4 linked regions of the Schizosaccharomyces pombe genome follow. The protein of the gene in region 2 binds, or shares a complex with, the protein of the main gene of each other region. Each region holds a gene or a part of one and is shown on either strand. Other genes may lie near its edges. A codon is read from its position in the direction of its gene.

What was found.
Region 1: the proteins of tif222 (region 2) and gcn3 are in contact, whole or in part, in a crystal structure (PDB 5B04), measured with the Schizosaccharomyces pombe proteins. Residues at the interface, in NP_593435.1 of Schizosaccharomyces pombe: Tyr137 (codon at 1,499), Ser138 (codon at 1,496), Ser139 (codon at 1,493), Met140 (codon at 1,490), Leu141 (codon at 1,487), Asn142 (codon at 1,484), Leu143 (codon at 1,481), Leu144 (codon at 1,478), Gly145 (codon at 1,475), Arg146 (codon at 1,472), Pro147 (codon at 1,469), Asn284 (codon at 1,012), Tyr320 (codon at 904), Tyr322 (codon at 898), Asp323 (codon at 895), Glu325 (codon at 889), Ser376 (codon at 736), Tyr379 (codon at 727), Arg380 (codon at 724); in NP_588203.1 of Schizosaccharomyces pombe: Ile40 (codon at 2,028), Ile85 (codon at 2,220), Phe86 (codon at 2,223), Arg88 (codon at 2,229), Phe89 (codon at 2,232), Arg92 (codon at 2,241), His106 (codon at 2,338), Asn110 (codon at 2,350), Leu113 (codon at 2,359), Phe114 (codon at 2,362), Arg117 (codon at 2,371), Ala118 (codon at 2,374), Leu128 (codon at 2,404), Pro131 (codon at 2,413), Leu132 (codon at 2,416), Arg134 (codon at 2,422), Tyr241 (codon at 2,743), Ser246 (codon at 2,758), His247 (codon at 2,857), Phe249 (codon at 2,863), Leu323 (codon at 3,085), Ile325 (codon at 3,091), Ile326 (codon at 3,094), Asp327 (codon at 3,097), Ser328 (codon at 3,100), Ser330 (codon at 3,106), Gly331 (codon at 3,109), Glu334 (codon at 3,118), Glu335 (codon at 3,121), Leu336 (codon at 3,124).
Region 3: the proteins of tif222 (region 2) and tif224 are in contact, whole or in part, in a crystal structure (PDB 5B04), measured with the Schizosaccharomyces pombe proteins. Residues at the interface, in NP_593435.1 of Schizosaccharomyces pombe: Ile204 (codon at 1,252), Glu233 (codon at 1,165), Phe235 (codon at 1,159), Gln239 (codon at 1,147), Lys240 (codon at 1,144), His243 (codon at 1,135), Ala244 (codon at 1,132), Ala246 (codon at 1,126), Lys247 (codon at 1,123), Ala250 (codon at 1,114), Gly253 (codon at 1,105), Ile254 (codon at 1,102), Asp255 (codon at 1,099), Thr256 (codon at 1,096), Thr257 (codon at 1,093), Val258 (codon at 1,090), Ile259 (codon at 1,087), Ser260 (codon at 1,084), Asp261 (codon at 1,081), Ala262 (codon at 1,078), Thr263 (codon at 1,075), Ile264 (codon at 1,072), Phe265 (codon at 1,069), Ala266 (codon at 1,066), Ile267 (codon at 1,063), Ser269 (codon at 1,057), Arg270 (codon at 1,054), Ser291 (codon at 991), Gly292 (codon at 988), Gln294 (codon at 982); in NP_594503.1 of Schizosaccharomyces pombe: Ile122 (codon at 2,234), Phe123 (codon at 2,231), Tyr274 (codon at 1,778), Ser301 (codon at 1,697), Arg302 (codon at 1,694), Phe305 (codon at 1,685), Arg308 (codon at 1,676), Leu311 (codon at 1,667), Lys312 (codon at 1,664), Thr315 (codon at 1,655), Glu316 (codon at 1,652), Cys321 (codon at 1,637), Thr322 (codon at 1,634), Tyr323 (codon at 1,631), Val324 (codon at 1,628), Met325 (codon at 1,625), Ile326 (codon at 1,622), Ser327 (codon at 1,619), Ala328 (codon at 1,616), Leu329 (codon at 1,613), Ser330 (codon at 1,610), Tyr331 (codon at 1,607), Ile332 (codon at 1,604), Gln334 (codon at 1,598), Ala356 (codon at 1,532), Gly357 (codon at 1,529), Ser359 (codon at 1,523), Leu360 (codon at 1,520), Leu363 (codon at 1,511), Leu364 (codon at 1,508).
Region 4: the proteins of tif222 (region 2) and tif225 are in contact, whole or in part, in a crystal structure (PDB 5B04), measured with the Schizosaccharomyces pombe proteins. Residues at the interface, in NP_593435.1 of Schizosaccharomyces pombe: Glu7 (codon at 1,941), His8 (codon at 1,938), Ser14 (codon at 1,920), Ser15 (codon at 1,917), Lys21 (codon at 1,899), Ser22 (codon at 1,896), Arg23 (codon at 1,893), Ala68 (codon at 1,758), Glu325 (codon at 889), Gln329 (codon at 877), Leu330 (codon at 874), Ser331 (codon at 871), Ser332 (codon at 868), Pro333 (codon at 865), Asp334 (codon at 862), Met337 (codon at 853), Ser338 (codon at 850), Phe339 (codon at 847), Asn340 (codon at 844), Gly342 (codon at 838), Ile345 (codon at 829), Ser346 (codon at 826), Arg347 (codon at 823), Glu349 (codon at 817), Leu351 (codon at 811), Tyr354 (codon at 802); in NP_594285.1 of Schizosaccharomyces pombe: Leu88 (codon at 2,477), Pro89 (codon at 2,474), Ser90 (codon at 2,471), Arg160 (codon at 2,261), Glu161 (codon at 2,258), Ala162 (codon at 2,255), Ser163 (codon at 2,252), His166 (codon at 2,243), Arg167 (codon at 2,240), Thr168 (codon at 2,237), Ile219 (codon at 2,084), Glu268 (codon at 1,937), Asn269 (codon at 1,934), Tyr270 (codon at 1,931), Asp286 (codon at 1,883), Arg290 (codon at 1,871), Trp291 (codon at 1,868), Tyr293 (codon at 1,862), Pro294 (codon at 1,859), Asp298 (codon at 1,847), Ser299 (codon at 1,844), Asn300 (codon at 1,841), Leu301 (codon at 1,838), Asn303 (codon at 1,832), Tyr308 (codon at 1,817), Arg310 (codon at 1,811), His311 (codon at 1,808), Gln312 (codon at 1,805).

The regions. Positions count from the first base shown.
Region 1 is NC_003421.2:1,464,076-1,467,916, reverse strand, and holds gcn3 (translation initiation factor eIF2B alpha subunit Gcn3), read left to right. Parts: upstream 1-1,897; 5' UTR 1,898-1,910; coding exon 1,911-2,064; exon of another isoform or gene 2,065-2,121; coding exon 2,122-2,261; exon of another isoform or gene 2,262-2,316; coding exon 2,317-2,759; intron 2,760-2,855; coding exon 2,856-3,144; 3' UTR 3,145-3,287; downstream 3,288-3,841. Other genes in the region: elongator complex subunit Elp4, read left to right, coding at 3,579-3,841.
Region 2 is NC_003424.3:1,671,697-1,675,488, forward strand, and holds tif222 (translation initiation factor eIF2B beta subunit), read right to left. Parts: upstream 1,981-3,792; 5' UTR 1,960-1,980; coding exon 1,746-1,959; intron 1,694-1,745; coding exon 1,303-1,693; exon of another isoform or gene 1,285-1,302; intron 1,257-1,284; coding exon 680-1,256; 3' UTR 501-679; downstream 1-500. Other genes in the region: glutamyl-tRNA amidotransferase beta subunit Gta2, read left to right, coding at 1-375; tit1 (tRNA isopentenyltransferase), read left to right, coding at 2,251-3,555. UniProt on the Schizosaccharomyces pombe protein: Acts as a component of the translation initiation factor 2B (eIF2B) complex, which catalyzes the exchange of GDP for GTP on the eukaryotic initiation factor 2 (eIF2) complex gamma subunit.
Region 3 is NC_003424.3:4,256,019-4,260,332, reverse strand, and holds tif224 (translation initiation factor eIF2B delta subunit tif224), read right to left. Parts: upstream 2,634-4,314; 5' UTR 2,598-2,633; coding exon 1,194-2,597; 3' UTR 550-1,193; downstream 1-549. Other genes in the region: iba57 (iron-sulfur cluster biogenesis IBA57-like protein), read right to left, coding at 38-232; cyclophilin family peptidyl-prolyl cis-trans isomerase Cyp8, read left to right, coding at 2,849-3,060, 3,201-4,115, 4,181-4,314. UniProt on the Schizosaccharomyces pombe protein: Acts as a component of the translation initiation factor 2B (eIF2B) complex, which catalyzes the exchange of GDP for GTP on the eukaryotic initiation factor 2 (eIF2) complex gamma subunit.
Region 4 is NC_003424.3:3,668,604-3,673,332, forward strand, and holds tif225 (translation initiation factor eIF2B epsilon subunit tif225), read right to left. Parts: upstream 2,904-4,729; 5' UTR 2,895-2,903; coding exon 2,837-2,894; exon of another isoform or gene 2,793-2,836; coding exon 2,731-2,792; exon of another isoform or gene 2,688-2,730; coding exon 2,563-2,687; exon of another isoform or gene 2,494-2,562; coding exon 702-2,493; 3' UTR 527-701; downstream 1-526. Other genes in the region: stress-responsive DNA-binding transcription factor Prr1, read left to right, coding at 1-72; V-type ATPase inhibitor and disassembly protein in response to oxidative stress Oxr1, read right to left, coding at 3,930-4,496. UniProt on the Schizosaccharomyces pombe protein: Acts as a component of the translation initiation factor 2B (eIF2B) complex, which catalyzes the exchange of GDP for GTP on the eukaryotic initiation factor 2 (eIF2) complex gamma subunit.

The sequences.
Region 1 (3,841 bases), on a different chromosome or scaffold from region 2:
ATGAAAGTGCAAGACGCCAGTTACAGGCACTCCGCAGGGAGAAGAAACGAGATATGCAGTCTCTATACATTTTGCGCAAGCGAATTTATTGTAAAAGTTGATATGCATTTTTTAATATCAGATACTACACAAAACATTTTCTGATAATCATAAAACATAAGACATTTTCAACTTGCATCTTAACTAAGCCAAATTCTACATCAATGTTATAAATTTTAGCATTAGCCATATTGGGGGAAATCGAAAGCTATTGATATTTTTATAATTGCAAAACGATTTGATAATGTAGAGAAGATATTGGAATATGTTACTCTCATCGATGAGCAGAATTAAAAGCTATGGGAGATAACGACTATTGCTATTGAAAACAAGAACTAGGCACGCAAAGAAATATATACCTTCTTTACTATAGTGCATGGTATTAGAGTTACTTAAAAGATTATTTTAACAACTTGCCGATCACGAGGTGATTCACAGATTTATAGCATAAATGAAAACCTACGGATGTCTAGCAATAAAGTTAGGATTTTACTGAAATTCGAGTCGACAACTAAAACATAATATTTTTGTAGCATCGCTTTGAATGATTGAGCATGTAAATATTTAGATATAATTGAAAGCATAGAAATTATCATAAATGATTTTCTTTAGATGCTGAAAGTAATAGCGTTTTTTCTATACCAGTTTAGTGTTCGCGTCATCCATAAATACCGAAGTAAAATCAAGCTTAATATAAGCGAGATTTACGAAGGTTGGACTAAAGATTAGTTTCTCGTAGAAATGGTCATGAACTTTTGAAAGGTCTCTTAAACATAAAATAGTTTTTTAAAAAACTTTCTATATTACTTTTTACCAAATCCAATTACTGCTTTCATCAGTACTCCTTTTTTTTTAAAATGGAAGCGTTTTGACATATTTCGTTCATGATACGCTCAACTATTAGGAACATAGTAAATTATACTACAAATTCACTATCTATACAATGATAAGTATCGTTGAACGTTACATATTGGAAATCAACAGTCAAGCATTGTTTACTGATCACCGAGGAAGAATTTCATGATTATCCTCAGATGTACTCAGTCAAGAATATGATATTAAAATTATTCTCAATATTTAGCTTTAATTAAATATAAGCTATTTAATAAACCAATTTATATGTAAATACCATTCAAATCACCTACATAAATATCTATAGGAACATATCTGTAGATCAGTATCCAAAACGCCGTATAATGTCAGCTACGCAGTTTGGTATCTGCTTTAACGATACGAAAAACTGGTGAATTTTGCATATGATCCATTATATTATAATAGCCGGGTTATATAAGTAATGACTAAGTACTGGTATTGTACTATTTAGGTTATAATGTCACCTATCACTTATAACTGAACTGCGAAATGAGGTTTAGTTGTATCTCTATCGATTCTATCCAAATAATCTATCTGTTAATATAGTATTATCAATATCAATCTCGACATCGCATCATCTACGTTGCGTATCACTATATGTCACATGTTCTAATTATATATCGTACCATGTATGATACGATATTGAGATTGATCTTAATGATAATCTATTAAGATCTATATTATCTGAATAATATAAATAGAGCTACTGCTGAACCTCGTTCCTCAGTTCAGTTATGAGCTATATTAGTGATAGGTAACATTATAACTCAGTTAATACAATACCTATACTCAGTTGCTACTTATACAACCTGTGTATTGTAATATAATAGATCACAAGGAAAACTCACCGCAGTTCTACGTATCCTTAAATCAGATACCAAATTGCGTAGCTTACAATTTAATACAAAAAGGCATTGCCCGTTATTTGATTTTGTTGGATATCCTTAAAGTATGGAAAAGATGTTGCTACTAAGCAAGAGCGTCTAGCATCTGCGAATATGGTGGAATCGGATTCTTCGGGAATCGTTCGACATTCTCAAGGAGAATTTGACATCGTCCAGGTTTACAAAAAATTTTTGCAAGATGATCCAGAAATCACGATGCCTGTAGCCGCCATTGAGGCTTTAGTCCAGCTTTTGTCGCGCTCTCAAGGTATGTTAATTTGTAGTACTCATGTGAGAAATGAATTTACTGATGTTTTTCTATTAGCCAAGACAATTTCAGAATTTATGGACATTTTACAAAATGGCTCAAATACGCTGAAGGAAGGCGTTCAAAACAACATTTCGCTTTCAGCTGGTTGTGACATTTTCCAACGGTTTGTCACTCGATCACTACACGATGTCGGGGTATGTGTTGATGCAAAGTAGTTTTCTTTTCTTTACTAATTCTCCACGGCTTTAGGATTTTGAGCAATGCAAACGTCACTTGGTAGAAAATGGAAAACTCTTTATTCAGCGTGCTCGTGCTTGTCGACAAAGAATTGCACATTTAGGTTACCCTCTTATTCGAGATGGTAGTGTTATTCTTACCCATGGGTTTTCACGCGGTGTTGCGGCTGTTCTTTTGGCTGCTGCCAAGCGTCACGTTCGTTTCAAAGTTTTTGTCACAGAATCAAGACCTAGCGGCTCAGGCTGTCTAATGACGAGAACATTAAAAAATGCTTGTATTCCTACTTGCATGGTTTTGGATTCCGCTGTAAGCTTTACTATGAACCGTGTAGATTTGGTCTTGGTTGGCGCAGAAGGTGTTGTCGAAAACGGAGGACTCATTAATCAAATCGGTACTTTCCAACTTGCCGTTTTTGCCAAACATGCACATAAGCCCTTTTACGCAGTTGCAGAAAGGTACGTAAACGTTGAATCCATTCAGCTTACAATTATTTTTCCCTATGATCTCTCCATTTCCCTGTTAATTTTAAAATTTGTACTAACGTTTTTTAGTCATAAATTCGTGCGTATGTTTCCCCTTTCTCAATATGATATTCCCTTTAGTCGTCCTATTCTGGAATTTGATGATCCATCTCCTGAAACTGTTCATCCTGAACCTGAACCAATTCCAACTCCATCAGATGCTATTCATAACGAGCTGATCATGAATGAAGAACAAATTCGAAATAATCCTACTTTGGATGTTACACCACCCGAATTTGTCTCAGGTCTCATTACCGATTTAGGGATCATTGATTCGAAGAGTGGGGTAAGCGAAGAGCTAATTAAATTGTATCTTTAGCAATCAGATTCTCCTGATCTTAAAAATAAAATATGAATAGATTGTACTTTGAGTTGACTTAAATTTCTCATAAGTCTTGTCCAACTAGATTCGGATTGAAAGTAATCTTCAAAAATACAACAGTAATACATTTTCCGATCATGCTAATTGACTGTACGACGTAACATTTTCTATGTTATTTTGTAGTATTACAATATTATTTTTGTTTCAATGCGCCCACTAGTGAAATTTTATTATTAGTTCAACAAAATTTATCTAAAAGGTATTTTTATTGAATGATTAACTTTAGTCAACAATTTTTTATTTTCTCAATCGCAACGCTGAATTTCTTTGTTTTCTGACTGATGATGCTTAAATGTGTGCTGCAAATTTGCGTCGCGTTAACCTTTCCATCCAATTTGCTATTCCACGTACACCAATCGAAATAAGTATTGATGTCGTTCAAAAGGAAAGCAGCACCTCAAATAGCACCAACAAACTTGCCGACAGGCGTTAGACTATCTTCAAAGGATGCTAGATGGATTACAAGCTCTGGGAGTTCTTCTTTTGACTACTATTTGTCTGGCGGCATTCCAATGAAAAGTTTGCTGGTTATAGAGGAAGATTCGATGGATTATGCTTCTGTGCTACTTAAATTTTTTGCAGCGGAAGGCCTTAAACAGGACCATGTTATTTGGCTTGGTCCATCTATTGGAGA
Region 2 (3,792 bases):
ATTGACCCTTCCCCTAACATCAATATCGTTCCTCCTTTGCAATTGGCTGACATTGTACTTCTTGTTTCCAAGAAGAAACTTACAGCTGCATCTGCTAAACTCTTCCTTCGTTCATTGATAAAATCACCTTCATCGAAACCTATATCTACTCTCATCCAAGAAAAAAATTTTGGTACCATTGGCGATTCCGAGAAAATAAAAGCTTGTGTAGAAAGTGTTCTTAGTAAACATTCAAAACAATTTGAAGAGTTGAAAAATGGTAAAACTTCCCTTATAAAGTGGTTTGTTGGCCTTACGATGAGAGAGCTTCGAGGACAAGCAAGTCCCAAAGACATTGAGATGGAAGTGCAAAGCAGTTTACGAAGGGAAAAGTAATCAAATTGGTTTGTATATTAGTGGCCCTAGTTTTTTTAATTACTGCATATTTCAAATCATTAGACAATGAAAGGAAACTCGTTAAAATTCATAGTCCATTTACTTTAATTTCAAAGTTTTATTTTGCTGAGTTAATTGCCTGTATTACTTGCAACAGAAACCCACAGTTAAAAAAATTCAATCTAATGTAACCCATGTTATTTATTCCAAAATTTTAATATTTACCTAAACACGTGTAAAGAAATTTGATAAACTTGATTTAATAGGTAATCAATTTTCCAAGAGAAAATAGAATGCAAACTCTTTAAAGAATTGTATCGCTTGCATCATAAGTATCATTCATAATACGATAAAGGTAGGAAGGAGGATAGCCACCCAAATTGGTAATAAACAGATCTACTAGGTCTGGTGGGATGTAATCATAGTAAGGGTTTAAAATTTCAGCGCGGCTTATTAGATCACCTTCATTAAAGGACATAATTTTATCAGGTGAAGACAGTTGGATAATGGATTCTAAGTCATAAGGGTAAACAGGGCTAAGCTTATAAATACCCGAACACACCACTACGGGAGTAGCATGGTGCCTGGCAGCCTGAGCAACTAATTGGGCTCCACTATAGGTTACCAATCCTCCGTTACCCAAGATTGCATGCGTACCAAGTATAACTTTATTCACGCGTGACATGATTGCAAAAATCGTAGCATCAGATATAACAGTTGTATCAATACCAGCCTGAGCTAATCGCTTTGCCATGGCATGAGAACCTTTTTGGTTATTGGGAAATCCTTCTGCAACAATCACTGAAAATTTGCGTTTCTTTGCGGCAAAACGGAGAAAAGCTTCAACAGTTTTTGAGCAACCCTGAGTTAAAATAATTTCACTAAAAAGGTTAGCTAACTGATAAGATGTTTAGCATGACACCATACTTTGAATGCAAATGGTCCATTGATTGAACTTCAATATCAGTATTAATCTTGTCCAACTCATCGATTACATCTTGGATGCCAGATATGATCACAGCGCGCATATCCATGCCACCGGTGACCCTACTGTCACCGACGGTTTTACTATGTGTGGGAGACTCAAGAGTAGGACGACCTAATAAATTAAGCATAGAAGAGTACATCTGAACTGAAACAGGTTCGTGACTTTGAACCAATTTTTCGTTAGAGGGAATGTCTCTTTTTTGAGAAGGGCTAGAAGAGTTCGATGAAGAAACGATTAACTTCTCATTTTCATCAGCAGTCTTTAATAATTCTTGATATTCTTCGCGGATTAAGCGTAAAATTCTTCTAATAATATTTCCACAAGAAAATTCTTCACGGTTTAGCATGTAACACAATAAAAGAATATGATTCAAAATACATACCAGTAGGTTGAGCCTTGACAAGAGTAGATCCAACAGCACGGACTGTATCAATTAATTGATCAACTGTTGACCAGCGAGTTTGAGAAATCACTTGTCTCATTACCAGCGCCGTTTCAACGGCAACTGCAAAGGGGCCTTGTACCTTTCTTGACTTTAAGTCTGCTATCAAGCTACTTACAGCCGGATAGGTATGTTCAACATTAATAGTTGACATTTTCAGGCGATGGGAAACGACAAGTAGTGTTTACATGTTAATAACGAACAAATACGAACGCTGTAAAAATGTAATAACTTGTTTACAGTAATTAAAACATCGTTAAAGCATATACCGAAGTTGACGCCGCAATAAAGGAACGGGGATAGTGAACCAAAACAAAATGTAAGGTAAAATCAGTTGGTAAAGAGCCAGGCTTGCTTGGGAAAATTTGGGAAATGGATTTGTTAGTCTAAGCTTGATTCGGTGTGTAATCTATTGAAGATAAGGTAAAAATCTATATCTTATAAAATGTTAAAGCCCCTTTGCGTTGTCATCGGTACTACAGGAGCTGGTAAGTCGGATTTAGCAGTTCAGCTGGCGAAACGGTTTGGAAGCCAAGTCATTAATGCTGACTCGATGCAAATTTATCGGGGATTTGATACTATAACCAATAAAATTACTGTGGAAGAGCAAGAGAATGTTCATCATCGCTTGATGTCCTTCTTGAACTTTGACAAAGAATACAGTGTTCCCGAGTTTGAACGAGATGCCTCCCGCGTAATTGACGAGATTCACAGTCAAGGAAAGATACCTATTGTGGTTGGAGGGACTCATTATTATTTGCAGTCCCTTTTGTTTGAAGATACTACTTTGTCGGCTATTGATAAATTGACGAACGATTCATCACCTAGTAAGCCACCCCATCCGGACTCTCATATCTTGGATGATGATCCATCTGCTATGCTTTCGTATTTAAAAAAGATAGATCCCGTGATGGCTGAGCAATGGCATCCTCGGGATACTCGTAAAATTCGAAGAAGCCTAGAGATATATTTTCACACCGGTCGACCGCCATCTGAAATTTATTCTGAGCAAAAAATGAAGTCAAGTGGCTCTAAACTTCGATACAAATCTCTAATATTTTGGGCGTTCGCAGATTCTTTAGTCTTAATGCCGCGACTTGATAAACGTGTTGACAAAATGCTAAGCCATGGATTGGTTGATGAAATAAAAAGCATGAAGAGTCTTGCTGAAAGTGAAAAATTTTCTCCTGATTTCACCCGTGGGATTTGGCAATGTATTGGATTTAAAGAATTCATGCCATGGTTTGAAGCGCCTTCGGATATAGTCTTTAATGATTGTTTAGAACGAATGAAGGTTTCTACTAGACAGTATGCAAAATCTCAGAAGAAATGGATCCAAAGTCGATTCCTCCCGATGTGTTTGGCTCAACAAGATTTATCCCCTTCTTCAATTCTATTTTCCACCACAAACACTACGGACTTGAACAATTGGGAAGAGCAAGTTGAAAAGGCTTGTAGAGTATTTCAATATTTTTTTTATAATGGCGATGCCATTGCTCCATCTGCTGATGATCAGCACGCTTTCGAAAAAGCCAGAGATTATCTCTCCATAATGAACGGTCGCCAATCTCAGAAAAAGAAGTTCGTTTGCGAGGAATGTTTAGACAAGCGGGGTGATCCATTCACTGTAATAGGAGAAGATGCGTTCAATGTCCATATTAAAAGTAGGAAGCATAAAACCACGGTGCGACGTAAAAAAGAAAGAGCTGAGCGTCAAATTCGTTTAAAAAACATTGGAATTTTAAAATGAAGTCCATATTGTATTTATTATTATATTTTTGGTCATGTTCATAATATAAGTCATAAAAAGCTATGGAGAATGGTCATTATTGAAGTATTCAAGATGGATGCACAGTGTTTATTTATCCAGATTTAGAGCGTTAACTTGTAAGCTAATAGTGAAATTTATTATTATATACGCATGCTACGAACTAGTCTGAATAATCATGCTTGAAACCTTCAAGAATGGAGAGACGACAGAGGATTC
Region 3 (4,314 bases), 2.6 Mb from region 2:
TCGCGCATCATTAAACCCAACACCGCAAGCTCCTTACCTGTGTATTTAAGAAGCCCGTGTATACAGGATTATCTAAAGTTATTTTGTTGGTCGTTAAGCCCTGAAGAAACTTGACTGCATCAACTCCTTCAACACGAATGAGAGATTTCGATGAATTTAGACAAACGCTGTAATTTCTAAATAGCTGGAATGAGAACTTTATAAACTTGCTCCTAACGGTGAACCTATTCATTGCCCATAGGTAAAGTACTTGAATTCACTTGGTTTCCTGAGGCTAGAATAGGACTCTTTTACAGTAAACCGAATTTCTAAAATCGATAAGTGGTTGAGATGATGATTTCGCATCACATTGTTTTTGTTACTTTTCGGGGGAATCCAAGGAGGATATGGCAAAATTATTAGTGTATATTATAAAGATATATATTATTATTTGTTTGCAATACAGTAATATCACTGTAGGAAAAAAACCTAAGGTCAAAACATACTGAAGATGAATTTTCTTCGATGAGGAACAAAATTTCCCTTTTCTTAAAAAAATAATATTTAATTCTGGTGTTTATTACTAGAATCGCTCTTAAATTATTACAGGTTTTAGATCATAAGCTGACATCAAGCGTAAAGCTTGTGATGCAAAATTTTATTTCAGCTTCGAACATCAGTTCTATAATTTAAAAAAAAAAAAATTGAATATCGAGTAACAGCTTTCTATTTTGTGTCTTAAAAAAAAAGAGATTGCAAGTTTTCTCCGATATATCCGAAGCATCAGCATACTATAGCCGGAAATGAAGTGATGAAATGACATTGTACGATCCCTGCTCATTTCATTTCATCTACAAATATTAACCATTAATACAACAAAAGAACATCATTACTCTTAACCATGCCAATAGCTCCCCTTGGATATACCAATATGTCAAAAATCATGTTGAGACAATTTAAATGCCAATATATAATCTACATGGAAAAATTAGAACAGTTTAGGTTCCTTTAAGAAAAGAGTAAACAATGAACTTTTGTAAATTTAAATATAATGAATTTTTTATTTTCACACAAACCAAATCTTCCAAGCATTGAGAAAGGAATGAGAAATAACAAAGGGAAAATGAAAGGTACTTCAAGGAAGCAAACATGGATATGCTCATAAATTACCTCTGAGGTGGACGAAACAAAAAAACAAAAGGAAATTAGAGAAATTAAGCATAAACCTGTTTGAACTCGTTTATGATAGCCGGTACCGAGGTTGAAGGTAAAAGCCCCATTTCACAAACACATACAGTAATTAGACGAGGTGGAGTAACATCGTATTTTAGACTGAGTAATTTTAAGTTCTTAACACTTTTCCAATTTGCGAGTACACCAGGTTTTTCTTCAAAGTCATCCACACCCATGTTTACAAGTTGATCGCCAGGTGCAAGTTCATTGTATACCAACGAATCCAATTGAATGCGCTCAGTAAATTTATAAGACTCGCAACACGCTATTACTGGAACATTAGACTCGTGTCCCAAAAGGGAAATTAAAGAGGTACCGGCACGAGAATATAGAGCACCATTCGAAAGCATAGCATGGCCTCCAAGGAAAATTTTGGTCACTTCTTGCATGATATAGGAAAGCGCTGAAATCATGACATAGGTACATTCAATCCCATGCTCGGTCAACAGCTTCAAACAAACCCGGCCTTCAAATTCTGGACGAGAGTCTACCACGACAACCCGGAATTTTTTACCAACATTCTTAGCATGAATGAGAACATCGTTTACTGTCGAAGAGTGCAAGTACGTTAAAATGACATCTCCGTCTTGTATTTTTTCGGTTGCTGCTTGTACGATGACTTGTCCTGCAATGATAATACGATCGCGAATATAACTGTCAATTTTTTCCAGAAGCAATTCTTTTCCCTCGTCGTCGGTAAGGTCAATGTCTAAAACAGAAATTTCGAGTTTTAAAAAGCGAATGGCGTTCCCCATACTGATACTCAACGGACGAGTTGATACTAAATAAGCAATTTGAGAATTTATATGCGTGGTCAGATGCCTGCTCAACGTCGTACCGTAGGGTGTTTGATAATCTTGGATGACGATTTTAAAAGTTTTCAACAAATCAATACAGCGCTGATTCGATCCAAAAATCTTATAATTTGCAAGTTTTAAACCCAAACGAATAACAGCAGGATGGATATCTTTCGGAATATTTTCAGTGGTTCTACGACGTCTCCAATCGAGGTGCGAAAAGATAGAAACTTGCTTTTCCTCAAAAATCTTTTTTTCTTGCAAATTAGCATCAGTTTCTGGACTATTCTGCGGGTTTTGTTTCGATGCCTTCTTTTGTTGGTTACTATTTTTATTAGGGATAGCTACCTTTTTTTCTTCTGAAACACCGGGTGGATTATTCGCGGCAGCTGCTTCGGCTTTTGCTCTTCTACTTGCTTGTTTTCTGGCCTTTTTCAACGCTTTTGCCTCCTTCCCTGAAAGTTTTGGCTCATTGGGAGAAACGACAGAAGAAGCTGTAGCTGGAGATGTTCCTCCCACACTAGAGCTTTCACTAACAGGGCTTTGATCCTTCCCATCCTTTTTTGCTTGTTCTGCTGAGAACCCCATCAGAAAATCAATATTTCTATTAAATTGGTTTGTTTTGGTAGAAGCGTAGATGAGTTTAGCTATAACACCCAACGTGCGCTTAGTGACCTTACCCTTACTACACCAACGCTATTCGACAACGTATACTTGTAGTTCGCATATATATTACTAGAAATTAATTACTTTATCGCCTTAAAATATCATAAAATTAAGAACTTTTATTTTTATTTTTTATAACCGTACAAACGTATTTATGATATTTATTAACAGGAATGGGCAAAAATACAGACAAACTGTACATTACACAAACTGAGCATTCGGGTGTGCATGGGTGGCATGGTGGTATGAGTGGCATAGCCCAAAAGAACAGTACCACAAGTTACAAACAACTTCCTTTTAATTATTGCTCTCTTTCCTTGCAGCCCTTTAACCATCCTTGTTGTCTTGTGGATGAAACCAAGCAAGCCATTATTTTCGATTTTAGGTATGTAAATCACTATTAGATGTGAGTTTCGAAGCAAATTTTTTGGTATTAAATGATATTTGTTTACCAACTAATCTAGTTGCTTTTGGAAATCTTTCATTCTTCATAAAAAAGTGGTGATGAGCGCTAACATGTGTTAGATTTATTGTTCCTTGGCTTCGAAAACATGGTACTAATCCTATTAATGGACAAAAGGCATCAATGTCAGATTTAATAAAGCTCAAGTTTGCAAAAAACAGTGCTGAAGAGTATTGTGATCCAGTTACGATGAAAAGCTTTACGCGCTTTTCACACATCGTGGCTATCCGTTCTACAGGGAATTGTTTTTCTTGGGATACTATTGAACGTTTGAACATAAAACCAAAACATTGGAGGGATCTCGTGAACGAAGAGCAATTTACCAGAGACGACATAATTACCATCCAGGATCCTCATAACGTTGAGAACCGAGATTTTTCGGCCATTCAAAAACAAAAGGAAACCGCAAGAGATGAAAAAATAACCAAGGCCAAAATTGCTTTACAAGCATCTCGCGCCAAGTCAACGGAGTCAACTTCATCACCTGAGTTATCGCATTCTCTCGATTCATCTAAATCTATAGCTTCTGATATGCCAATTCATCGCGCATCCCATACAACTGGTTATGCTGCAGCTTCCTTAACCTCCACATCATTTACTCCTGTAACGAAGAATGAAAGAGCAATTATTGCTGAAGAAGATTATATGCTTAACCATACGCGGATCAAGCACAAAGGATACGCGCGTATTGTTACTAATCACGGAGAAATTAATATTGAGTTGCATACAGACTATGCACCCCATGCTGTTTACAATTTTGTCCAGCTTGCCAAGCAGGGCTATTATCGTAATACAATTTTTCATCGCAATATTGCTAGATTTATGATTCAAGGAGGTGATCCTAGTGGAACTGGAAGAGGTGGTCAAAGTATTTGGGGCAAGCCGTTTAAGGACGAGTTTTGTAACCCTTTAAAGCATGACGATCGTGGAATTATATCTATGGCCAATCGTGGAAAAAATACCAATGGAAGTCAATTGTAAGTGTTTTCTTCTCTATTTTTTAAAAGCTTCAAAGAAATGCAAGTGCTAACCTGATTTATAGCTTTATATTGTATGGACCAGCGAAACATTTGGACAATAAACATACAATATTTGGTCGAGTTGTCGGTGGTTTAAATGTTTTGGATGCTCTTGAAAAAGTCCCTACCAACAGTAATGATCACCCCAAGTTACCAA
Region 4 (4,729 bases), 2.0 Mb from region 2:
AATGATGCTCCTATGTATCCTCAACAGATGTTACAGGATCCCATTCAAGCAGACTTACAGCATCCACATTGATGGAAAAGTCTTAATGTTATATATTTCTTATTTTTACTATCAGGTCTCTTTTACTTTTGTTTTATATAAAAAACTATCTATCACTTCTGTTTGATTTAGTTAAAGGTTTAATCTTTGGTCTATGTATCTATGTTCTCTTTGGGGTTCAAGTTAAGGCTTTCTTTTCGAAGAAAGGCTTTTCATATCCCATGACTAGTTGTTTAAATTCCACAAATTCCAAACAGTGTCGGAATTGTCTTTCATATCAACTACAACTAGAAACATGTACAGAAGAGACATAATCAATATAACTTTTCAGTTTTTGCATTGTATTTTAGCCACTATTTTCTTCGGTTTGCTCAAATTATATTATCTTCATTCGCTTGTTGTATTTCTTACATTTCAGCTAAAAATATTGAATTCGTCCAACTGATATTATCGTAAATAACTATGCGTGTAATTAACAGAATAGTGCTGGATTTTAACAACGCGCCCTGTAGACCAAAATTTTATTTTTCTTCTCTATCGTATTATTATTTGCTAGAAAATAATAGCCAGCTAAATTATGAGTGACCCTTTTTTTTTGAGTAGACAGAAACCACTTTCATAACACTGTTTTAAGTCAGAGTTCAGGATTTGTAAGGGAACTATTATTCTGACCCTTCTTCACTCTCGCTTTCACTTTCAGCAGTATTCAACCAGTCGACAAATTGTTTGCCACCGGCATCACGAAGCGCAGCCAATTCTCCTTCGCTAGAGCGGGGATCAGAATACCATTCTTGAATGGCATTCTCTTCAGCAATTTCTAATTGGTAGAAATATCCCAAAAGTTGTAAAAAGTGCCGAGTCATACTCAAACGGACACAGTACTTCTGCAGCGTTAATACGTTGTCAACTTGCTCTTCATGGCTAAATGTCAGTTTTGCAAGCAATGGACCCCAACGTGTCATTACTTTTGCTAGTGCCTCCTTGGGGGATACATCTAAGTGCATGATACGCCTTAAAAGAGCAAGAACAATTGCGGATCGCACCTCGTGATAGTTGGCATTCATGGCCATTCGGAGGGTATTGAGTTCAAGAGCAGCAATATCAATTTGGTGGTTTTCTTCAAAGGCACGTTCAAGACTCTGCTGAGCTTCCTTGTTGAAATCTCCTTCATCGAAATCCTCTGAGTTAATTGTATTGGCAGAATCGCGTCTAGCTGAAAAGGGAATAAATTCCATATCTTCTTCAGAAGACGAACTTGTCTCTGAAGATTCTGAATCAGATAAATGTAACTCATTTGTACTTTCAATAAGCCCTGAAGCCTCCATAAACTCTCCCTCATCATCAGAATCCTCTTCGGCATGATATTCTTGACCACGTCCACCAATCCCTACCAAAGATGGATCGTTCAAAGTTCCTTGAGAGTGACTCTCGAAAGTTGTAAGACGCTTATTTTTTTCAATTATTGTATTATCCCCAATAACAACGCCTGCAGCTACTATAGCACCATCTTCAATTGAACAATTATTTCCAATTTTTACAGAATTGGCAAGAATGGCTTTGCCAATTCGACAATTATCTCCAATGACAACATCTTCCCAAAGGAAAGCACTGTCTATACTACAATTGCTGCCTATGGTACAATTCCTACCAATGATAGTATTCGCAACCACAGACGCATCACCGACTTTGGTATAGGCACCGATCAAAGTTCGTGCCTTAATAATGCAAGAACGAGCAAGAACAACGTCTTCTTCCTTATAAATCTGATGTCTTTGATAACTAAAAGTTTGGTTAAGAAGATTGCTATCGGGAACAAAAGGATAGACCCATCGAGAAAGAACATCTTTGCTAATAGCATCATAAGTTTGAAGACTACGAACACGAGCTGCATAATTTTCTTTAGCAACATGGCAATGAATCTTTTTTCCTAAAAGATCAGAGGTTAAAACACCATATACGAAGTCTTTTCGAATGTCTTGGTAATCAAAGTTTTCAGTAAAAAGGGCAGGTACATCATTGGAGCAAATGTCAATTTGACAGTCAATCAAATCATTTCGAACCTCCAACTCTTCATGCTCATTAAAGATTTCGGGATCCATAGAAACATAATGTTTTCCCCTTTCGTTAGCTTGATAATGCACGCATTGGCTGGTCTTTTTATCTATCACGAAAACAGAACTCTCTGTACGGGCGCGTGTACGATGAAATGGACTTGCTTCTCGTACAACCATTGTCATAATAGCATTTTTATCATCTTCACGGCGCTTCCGATGTTCTTTCAAAACTTCGTTTAGAGGCACATTGGATACCACATCGCCTGATACGAGTATGAAATCGGAGGTAATTAGCTGTTTTGAATCGAGCTCTCTTAAAGCATCACCAACCGACAGAGATTCTCTTGACACAATCGTGTTTACACTAAAGGGGGAAGAGGGAAGATTCCACTTTGACTTTCTGTGGGTTATATTGTGTTAGTTATATCGTATCAGAAATTCGAATTTAAGACCTCAATTTAGCACATACTCTATATATTCTCGAATTTGTCCTGCATGGGCACAGCAAAATACATAAACTTCTTGCACCCCGGCCAATGCCAAAAACTCAAAAGTGTACTCTATTAAAGGGGTATTTGCTAAAGGAAGAAGACACTAATAATATTAGTACTTAAAGTGTACACTGGTAATTGCATACGCGAGGTTTATCTAATGTAAGAGGGCGAAACCGATAATTATAAGAATCCGACAAAACAATCGCTAAAAATTAGTAACAAACACTTTTTGAATCCCAAAAACATTACCTTGCAGAGCGTGTTTTGGCTTTTCTAGCTTGCCATTCAGCCCTTTGGATGGAGGCATTTCGACAATGTAGAGGGATTAGACATATTTCTCAATATCATTTAAGCCCAAACAGTCATTTAAGGATGCCGTGCTCCACTGCCTTATAACTTAAAGATTATTCTAAACAATTCATCAACTAGAGACTAAAAAGGAATTTATAAAGACGTTAATAATCAAAGAGTAATTAAATTTAGGATATTAAATTTGCATAGCTCATTTCTTTTATAGTTTATTGGCGAAAGAAAGTGGTTTTATTTAAGTAACCACAAAAATTCCACATAATAAACAGAAGATATAAACGGTGATTTATCCTGTTAAGTTGGTAAATTTTGTCAATTTGTTTTCTACAATTGGGTAGTGGTTGCAAACATTTTACTAATCTTATGGTAGTTTATCGAGATTTGAATACAGGTTTCAAGTGTTTACACGGTAATCAAAAAGAAACATAATAAATAAAACTTCATAATAATTATTATTACTGATATAAAGTGGATGGTAGAAATCGATTCGTCAATTAGGGACGATACGAATTGTTGATGAAAAGCAACCACGTGAATAAATATACTAAGTGTAGCATTAAAAGTTATGAATAGAAAAAGAGAAAATTAATAAATAATAGACAATTGGGGAGAAGATATTGGGGATGCTCTTCATTTGATTCGTTCACTCAATGCATAAGGCGTAAAGAAATTAATAGCAAGGATATTCATGCTTGATCAATTAACAAACGTAATCTTCCGGAATTGAGAAGAAGTATTAAAAATTAGCTGATGATAGAAAGCTATACATCACAAATGGGAGGGAAGAGTCCTACGGCTCGAATTTCTGGTAAACTCGATATTCATTGATTGAACATGCAAATCAACGAGTTAACTTGAATTAAGAATAATAATCAATGCATAGAGTCAGCATAAAATTGTCTTTGGTTGAATAAATTAGTCATAAAGAAAGCACGGTAAAATATTAATCTTGATATAAATATAAAACTTGGGCTGATGCACATTTCCGAGTCCATCTTTTATTTTCTTTTTTCTTTTCATTCGTTAGTTGATATTACTCCAATACCCAGAGCTCGATGTCCACGATTTGGATTCGTTGGTCAGGACAGCCACGATAGCTCAAAGGATTGTTTTCGAATGCAGGAGTACGACTAGAGTAAGCGTACTCTAGAGAGCCATCAAGCCAAAGGCTGTATCTTCCATTACCCCCACCAAATGCCAAAAAGCTTTTGGTGCAATATGCAACAAAATTGGAATTTCCTACGAAAGGGTAATGTACATACTTTTTGGGAGGAAAATATTTCCACAAGAAGGTTTCCTCGGAACCAAAGTAATGAGGTGCAGGAATTAAATAATCAGGGATAAAAACTCCAAAAACATCGCCGTCTGTATCGCGCACAGCTAAAATGCAAGCCCCTTTAGGATGGCCGCTTCGAGCTTTTTCCTTTTCGCAGGCTAAGTACATTGTTTGAAGAGATGCGCCGTCATGTTGCAACGAATAGATTCGTTTCCAAGTTTCAGCAGAAGCATATCTTGCTGGCAAGTTCTCAACGATGTGACTGGCCAATTCATCTGTTATTAAGCCGTCTTTAACACTATACTGTCTTGTAAAGTTAAACATTTCAATTGATACAAAATACTTGCTAAAATTTTGTACTCTTATGGTGTGTGTAGTTAGAAAGATTAAGGTGATCCACTAGCCTTATGTAATAAGTAAACAAATAAATAATTGTGAATACAATAACAAACACTGAAATAAACAACAGTAAGTGTATTCTTTAATTTTCCAAAGAAGAAGTTTTTCTTAATAAAGGTATTCTTATTGATCCTTTTTTATTGTTTTTTTTGAGAAAT